Linked DNA regions of Canis lupus familiaris. Each later gene encodes a partner of the first gene's protein in a complex. Links are inferred from orthologs where the notes say so. Each region holds a gene or a part of one and is shown on either strand. Other genes may lie near its edges. The genes, in order: HERPUD1 and UBE2J1.

The links.
Region 2: HERPUD1 (region 1) and UBE2J1 share a complex: the UniProt entries of both Homo sapiens proteins name them as parts of the HRD1 complex. The link is inferred for Canis lupus familiaris from reciprocal best matches to the Homo sapiens genes HERPUD1 and UBE2J1.

The regions. Positions count from the first base shown.
Region 1 is NC_049223.1:58,668,823-58,673,219, forward strand, and holds the start of HERPUD1 (homocysteine-responsive endoplasmic reticulum-resident ubiquitin-like domain member 1 protein), read right to left. Parts: upstream 2,977-4,397; 5' UTR 2,866-2,976; coding exon 2,713-2,865; intron 1-2,712. UniProt on the Homo sapiens protein: Component of the endoplasmic reticulum quality control (ERQC) system also called ER-associated degradation (ERAD) involved in ubiquitin-dependent degradation of misfolded endoplasmic reticulum proteins.
Region 2 is NC_049233.1:48,761,248-48,764,358, reverse strand, and holds part of UBE2J1 (ubiquitin-conjugating enzyme E2 J1), read left to right. Parts: intron 1-2,074; coding exon 2,075-2,353; 3' UTR 2,354-3,111. UniProt on the Homo sapiens protein: Catalyzes the covalent attachment of ubiquitin to other proteins. Functions in the selective degradation of misfolded membrane proteins from the endoplasmic reticulum (ERAD) and is essential for cells to recover from ER stress.

The DNA.
Region 1 (4,397 bases):
TGACTTTTAAACTCCCAAGGAAATTCCTTTCTGCCACTAAAAACACAAATTGTATTTGGGGATCCCACAGCAACTAACTTCAAAACCTGGTTTGATCTCAGAGAAAACTCAAAGTACTCCCAACCAAGGTCAGCCTTTACCAAAATCACCTAGTATTGTCCTAAGAGAAATTTTTTTTTTAATTTTAAGATTTTATCTATTTATTTGAGACAGTGTGTGTATATATGTAAGCAGGGGGAGGGGGAGGGGGAAAAGCAGACTCCCCACTGAGCAGCTCTATCCCAAGGCCCTGAAATCATGATCTCAGCCCAAAGCAGACACTTAACCAACTGAGCCACCCAGGACCCCAACATAAAGCAATTCTAAACTAAGCTCTCAAAGAGACTTTTCCTAACATACAAATCCAAGTATAGAGGAAATGGTGCGTAGGTAGTATTTCAGAGAACTCTATGAGGCTTACTACCCCTATTGAAGGGAGGAAAAGTCTGAAACTGACTTGTCCAAGTTCACCCGTCACTGAAGAGTCAGGATTCCAACCGTCATCTCCATTCCAGTGATTTCAAAACCACAGGGACTCTACACATTTTCATATAAATCTCACTTTTAAAATCAACTAGATTTTAAATTCCTTTAAAAACCATACTTAAAAATAACGGCCTCAAATGATACATACCAAAGCCAGTACTCTATAGAGATCACCAACCCAAGGACAGAACAATTATGCAAAATCTGGAATAAAGTTGCTCCTGCCAAGTAGCTGGAGATTATAAAGCAAACTGTTTAAATCAATCAAAACGATAATTGCATCTATTTATCTGCATAAATCAGGATTTTTTTTACACCACGCACCTTGAACTACAGAACCAAATTGGATACTATTTTTCACCATTGTTCTGATTGACTTTACAGGTAATGCTATGCACATAATCTTGTTAAATGCTAGAGGTGGGGTCCTGCATTACATAAAGAGTTCCACACTAGTAAAGGTTTTGAAAACCACAGATGCCTGTTTTTCCCTTTAAAAGGCCTGACCTGGGATCCCTGGGTGGCGCAGCGGTTTGGCGCCTGCCTTTGGCCCAGGGCGCGATCCTGGAGACCCGGGATCGAATCCCATATCGGGCTCCCAGTGCATGGAGCCTGCTTCTCCCTCTGCCTGTGTCTCTGCCTCTCTCTCTCTGTGTGTGACCATCATAAATAAAGAAAAAATTAAAAAAAATAAATAAATAAAAAATAAAAAAATAAAAGGCCTGACCTGACGTTCCATCAAATCAGAAGGCTGATTTGAAAAAAGAAATTAAATATGCTAAACTATTATAAAAGTAAGAAACCAAATGACGAGTGCCCCTCCAGTCATAATTTTTATGCACAAATTTACACACCTGAGAGGTCTTTTATTTACAATTTTTGGGTCTTCAGACTTAATAGGAGTGACGGTTGTCACCCAAGGAAGCCCTTAAGGGAAGCTCTCCTCCAAAACACTTTTACCAAATGATGCAACTAGGGACCACACCTATCTGTGGACCTAACAGCTATTCTCACAGCACCTGGGCCACCGAGTTTCTTGGAAACAGTTGTGGTGAAACTACAAATAGTCCCAAGGGGAATGCTGAAGGAATGACAGCTTTTTAGGTAAACTAGCAAAATTCAAAGAATAACTCGGAAGGAAAGCTCACTTCTACAATTCCATATTCAACAATTAAGGGATAAAAAGCCTGACAACTCCCCCCTCTCCCCCCTCCCCCCCAGCTACCACACGCTGCAAATTTTCAGGTAAGAGGCAACAATTTCAGTCTTTGTCGCCCAGATGCCTTCTCCTGTTTAAGGCAGAATCGCACTTGTGGGCAGCGGAGCACACGGCTGACACTTACATAATATCAGGGTACAAAGTAAATACAGGAAGGTCCGGCTCGCAGCCTCCGTCACGTGGTGGGGAGGGAAGGGAGGGCGGTGCTAAGGGGGATGTTGACAGATGTGTCAACCAAAACAAAGCGAGGAAGTCTGTAATTGAGGAGCCAAAGCCTTAACGCCCAGACCCTGCCTGCTTCCTTCTAAACCCTCTAAGCAGAGAGTGCGCGGGGCTCCTCCCCGGGACCAGGCACAGGCCGCGGAGTCCGGCGCGCCGGGCAGGGAGGGGCCGCGGCGGAAGGCGGCGGGCGAGGGGAAGAGCCACGTCTCGCTGCCGGCTGCGGCGCCCCGAGGACACACGCACTCCTTGGGCGCTCCCCCGTGTCCCCAGCCACGGGCCGGGGCTGGCCCCGCTGGCCCCCGCCCTCCTGCCCCGCACCGAGACGCTGCTTCGGAAGATCCCCTTCGCAGCATTCCTGCGTCCCCGCTTCTATCCAGTTCCCAGTGCGCAACGCCTGTCGCCCTGCTCTTTCGGGGAAACGGAGTTTGGAAGGGTGCGAGGACTCACCCAAGGTCAAGCCGCGGGCTCGGCGGCGGGGCCAAGGCCGGAAGCCAGACCCAGGGGACGGGGCAGTGGTCTGGGAGGCGGGGCGGGAGGGCGACGGCCGTAGGGGCTGGGGGACACGGGACGAGGGACGGGGAAGGCAGCCCGTCTGCAGGGCGGAGCGATGGCGGCGGGGCAGGGCGAGACCCCCGCGGGGAGGCGACCTGCGGGGGACCGGCCGTCGGGCTGGGGGCGACGCGCGAGCCGCAGGGATGGCGGCCGCGCCGGGGGACGCCGGCAAGGGGAGTCGGGGCCCCTCTCACCGGGCGCTCGGGGTAGACGCGGCTCAGGTGGGCCTTGAGGCGGCCCACGCTCCAGCTGCGGTCGCCGCTCAGCTCCAGGTCGCGGTGGCGCTGGTTGGGGCTCTTCACCAGGAGCGTGACGGGCTCAGGCTCGGGTTCGGGCTCGACCTCCATGTCGGCTGCGCTGTGGGCTCGGCGGCGCTCCGAGAAGCCAGGCAGGCGGCGTCGGGGCCGCCCACAACCTCCGCAACGACCGCTCGCGTCTCTGGGGCGCGCGCCCCCGCCTCAGGCGCCTTTTATAGGCACCTCGCGCTAGGGCTCTGCGGCGAGGACACTCTGTGGCCGCCGCCCATTGGCTGGGGCGGGGGTCACGGCCCTAACGTGGCCCAATCGGCGCCCGGTTCGTGGGCGGAAGGGCGGGCCGAGCACGTGGTCGGGGGCTGATGCAACCCGTCGCCCTTGCGTCACTCGGAGTCCCGGCTGCGGCCCCGGAACCCGGGTTCGGCGGCCATGTTTGGGTGCGCTGAGCCCCGGCGGGGCGCTGAGGCCCGGACGGACCGGGGTGCGGCCTTGCTCCAGGCGCCTGTGGGGGCACGGGCAGGCAGACCCCCCGCTTGCAGGCTTCTGCAAATTGTGTCCTCACAAAGCAGCTCTCCCCGCCCTTTCTGACCCCGGGTGCCGAGGCTCTCTGCCCCTTTCCCTTCCCGGCGGTGCGGGCGGCCCGGACGCCAGGCCCCGCGGCCTGCCCTACGGCGGAGGCTTCCCCACGCCTTCCGCGGCCTCCGCCCGGAGCACGGCGGGCTGGGCCCCGTGTGCGAGTCCCGGGGCCTCGGCAGGGGAGGACGCAGGCTGGACTCCCCCTGCGGCCTGGACGTGACCGCGGCCCCCGCGGGCGCGCGCATCCCCTTTACGGCGCCAGCCCGCGCGGCCTTCCACTGCGGCGGAGCCCCCGAGGCGAGGCTTCTCCGTGTTCTACGAGGTGGAGGTGCCGGTGCCGGTGCCGCTGAGGTAGGCCAACCTCCCGCCCTCGCCTCTGTAGGAAGAAAGGTCTTGAAAAACAGCACCGACGTGGTGCGGGCCCCATCCCGATGCAGGCGTCTTGGGACGTCTGTCCCTGCGGGTGCCGGGAGCGCGGCAAGGGCAGGCGGCTGACGCGAGGGGCCTGGTCGGGCCGGAGGCTGCAGGCCGCGGACCGCAGGCCCGAGGGACAGAACGCGCTGTGCCCTGGGCCAGGAGGCCGGAGCCACACATGGAGGTGCTGGGCCGGGGTTGCTCCTTCTGAGGAGGGCTGCGAGAGGGAATCTGTTCAGTGCGTTTTCCTGCTTCTGGTAGTTTGTGGCAATGTCTGCAGTTCTGGGTGTGGGGCTACAGCGTCCCAGCGCGGCCTGCGCCGTCAGGGTGCGTTCTCCCTGTGTGCGTGCTTTTCCGCATCATTTTCCCTCCATGCAGGTCTGTTTCTGCGTCTCAACACCCCCCCCCCTTTATTATTTATTTACTTATTTATTTTTGTTTGTTTAAGAGAGAGTGTGAGCACAAGGGGGGTCAGGGGGCGATGCGGAGAGAGACTCTCAAGCAGACTCCATTCACTCAGCGCAGAGCCAGACCTGAGGCTCCATCCCACAACCCTGAAATGAGGACCTGAGCCAAAATCAAAAGTTGGACCTCCAACAGGCACCCCCACACCACCCTTTCTATAAGGATGCCAG
Region 2 (3,111 bases), on another chromosome or scaffold:
CCTGTGTGTGCATGCACACATACTCTCTCTCAAATAAATAAATAAATCTTTAAAAAAAAAAAACTAAATCTAGTGTCTCCATAGGGGTATATTAACAATGACAATATTAATAATAAGTAACATTTATCAGCAGTTGTGTATCCTAAGCATTTTATATTGTTAATCCTTTTAATCCTTATAAGTACATAGAACGCCTGGGTGGCTCAGCAGTTGAGCATCTGCCTTTAGCTCAGGGCATAATCCCAGTTTGGGGATCGAGTCCCACATCCGGCTCCCTGTGAGGAGCCTGCTTTTCCCTCTGCCTATGTCTCTGCCTCTCTCTCTGTGTCTTTCATGAATAAATAAATCTTTAAAACAAAACAAATAATCTTATAAGTACAGAATTGGATATTATCCAATTGTACAGATGAAAGAGCTGAGTCTTAGGCTGAATAATTTGCCCAGGATCCTGCATCCCCGAAGTGCTAGAGCCTGCCTGGTAATTAATGAATGATAAGGCTGCTTGTTTTAGTCATTGTATTCTCTCAAACTAATGGAAAAAAATAACATGTATAAAATAAAATCTTTAAGCTGAATCAATCTCTTGTGCTAGTTCCTGGATTGATAGCACCTTTGTGTTTTTTACTTTCCTTAAGAACCTTCCCTGTAAGCCTTGAGCACTTTTACTGCATTAGACACTTTTAGCTTCTTGGCTGAGAAATCAGAAGAATGGGAGATTTCAAATGGAATGTTGCTGTATCAGCCACTATAACTCAGCTCAACCCAATGAGTGCTTATTAAGATAATATGATGCCTGCGACAGTGTAAGACCTCGTAGTTCCTTTTCTGTCTCTGTGTTATGGGTCACTACATTCGAGTGCTTCCAAAAGACAATTTTAAGAAACTCAGATTATTCACACCTTGTAATGTTGAAATGAATGTCAGATTTAAAATGTACTTTCTTCTGTAGGTAACTTAGATCAGCAGTTTCTTCCCTAATGTTTATAGCTGTTGCCAGAACAAAGCTCATCCTCTTATGCTTTTTAAAAAGTACATTATTGATTTTTTTCTTCTATTTGAAATCTTCTCTAATGGAAAGTTTTAAAAATATTTTTTATTTACTCAGTTTTTAAAGTTATCCTGAAAAAGACATGCATTCTTATTTTTTATTTGAAAGGCTATTGGTACTAATATAACCAATATAAAGTTTTCAATAAAAGAATTAAAGGCCACTGGGTTATTAGAGGTAGAGTTAAGGTATCTATATAAATAAAATGGAATTTATATTTTGTAGAGCTTTCTTATCTATATACCATATTTAAGATTTTTGAATCACTTCGTATCACACTGTAATTATGCTAGGCCCAGTAGTCATTGAAAGGACAGAAAACAATTGATATCTTGTGCTTTGTAGGGCCCGCTACTGTGCCAAAGTATGCTTTATATGCATAAGGTAACATAATTCAAATACACAGTAAAGAATTATTCTAGACTTGTGCTCAATTCACTTTGCAGGAGTTATGAGAAAAGACAAACTTGGCTTGAAAACATCTGATTTTTATAACAGTACTGCTGTGAAGAAAGTATGGTTTGAAATTATTCCCTATGCTGTATGATTGTTGGTGGAAGCATGTGGATGTAGTCAGATAACATTGGAAGAGACCTGGTTCATGAAAGGCAAGCTGTTGAGAGTTAAAACTTTTTGCCATTTAGTCTGGCAAATTTTCAAGCCGAAAAGAAATCAGATTGCTTCCCTTCTTAGCTCTCCTGTAAGAAAGTAAGATGCCCAGATGCTTAACATATATTGCTGGAGTTGTAGCTACAGGAGGGTAGAAAGCCATCTGTAGAGCACATGGCCAACCTCTGTTCTCATCCTATTTGTTGCTGATAAAGTCCTCCTCTACCTGATGAGTATTCAGAATAAATTGTGTTGTTGGCTTGTTCAGGAGGGTAATTAGTTTCAGCCTTCAGATCATTCTTGGTTGTTTTGCCCATAGTCATATTTTAGTGCTCTGAGGTTTTGTGTATTCTTGTAACTTCCATATATACAAGTTTTCTTTGCCAATTTCAAACAAGATTTCCTAAAATTTCCTAGTATGGAGCCCAGAACCCCCCAGCAGCATCCCTTCAACGACCTGCTCAGCCTGTAGTTAAGAATACCTCCATGAGCCCTCGACAACGCCGAGCCCAGCAGCAGAGTCAAAGAAGGTCGTCTACTTCCCCAGATGTGATCCAGGGCCAGCAGCCAAGAGACAACCACACTGATCATGGAGGATCTGCTGTTCTGATTGTCATCTTGACTTTGGCATTGGCAGCTCTTATATTCCGACGAATATATCTGGCCAATGAGTACATATTTGACTTTGAGTTATAATATTGTTTTGTGTCTTAAGAGCTGTGACTCAGCTGCTTCATTAAACATTCTGCATTGGGTATAATCTAAGAATTGTTTACAAAAATATTATTTTGTATTTACCCTTCATTCCTTTTTTGATCCTTATAAATTCAGTATCAATATAGCTAGACTTTCAGACTGTGTCTGCTTAGTTTAAGGGACTAGAAAGTCAAAGTCCCTTGTCTCACCATATGACCTGCTTTACAGAGAAATAACTTATTGTTTCTCATGCCTCAACTTCTTTTTATGTAAATTTGTGATACTTTTCTGTATAACCCTTTGAAAATTTTGAATTAAAGAAGGTGTTTTAAGTTCCAGTGAGTATTACTAGTTACTCAATATCATTTATTGAGTACTCTGTTTCTACTTATGTAGAATGATCTAGGGATAAGAATTGAAAAGGGAAAGTAGAGCTCTTCAAATAGCTTGCTGAGAATGTCATTCATAGGAGATAGACTGGGATGCCCATTCTGTGACTTTGTGTCCTAAATGTTGTTCAGTGAAAGTAATTATTTCAGTCAGACATTTATGAGGAGAGATTACATCTTTGTTACTGGATGTTACTTGGAGGGAATAATGCTTTGTAACCACTTTGATATGCTGTTATCCCCTTCTCTCCCAAATGCACACAAGATTCAAAAACAAAGGAAACAGTCCTCCATAGAGCTTTTTTTAAGGAAAGAAGGGTCCAAGCCAGGAAATCACTTGATTTTCTTCCAGAAGTCAAACGGAAGGAT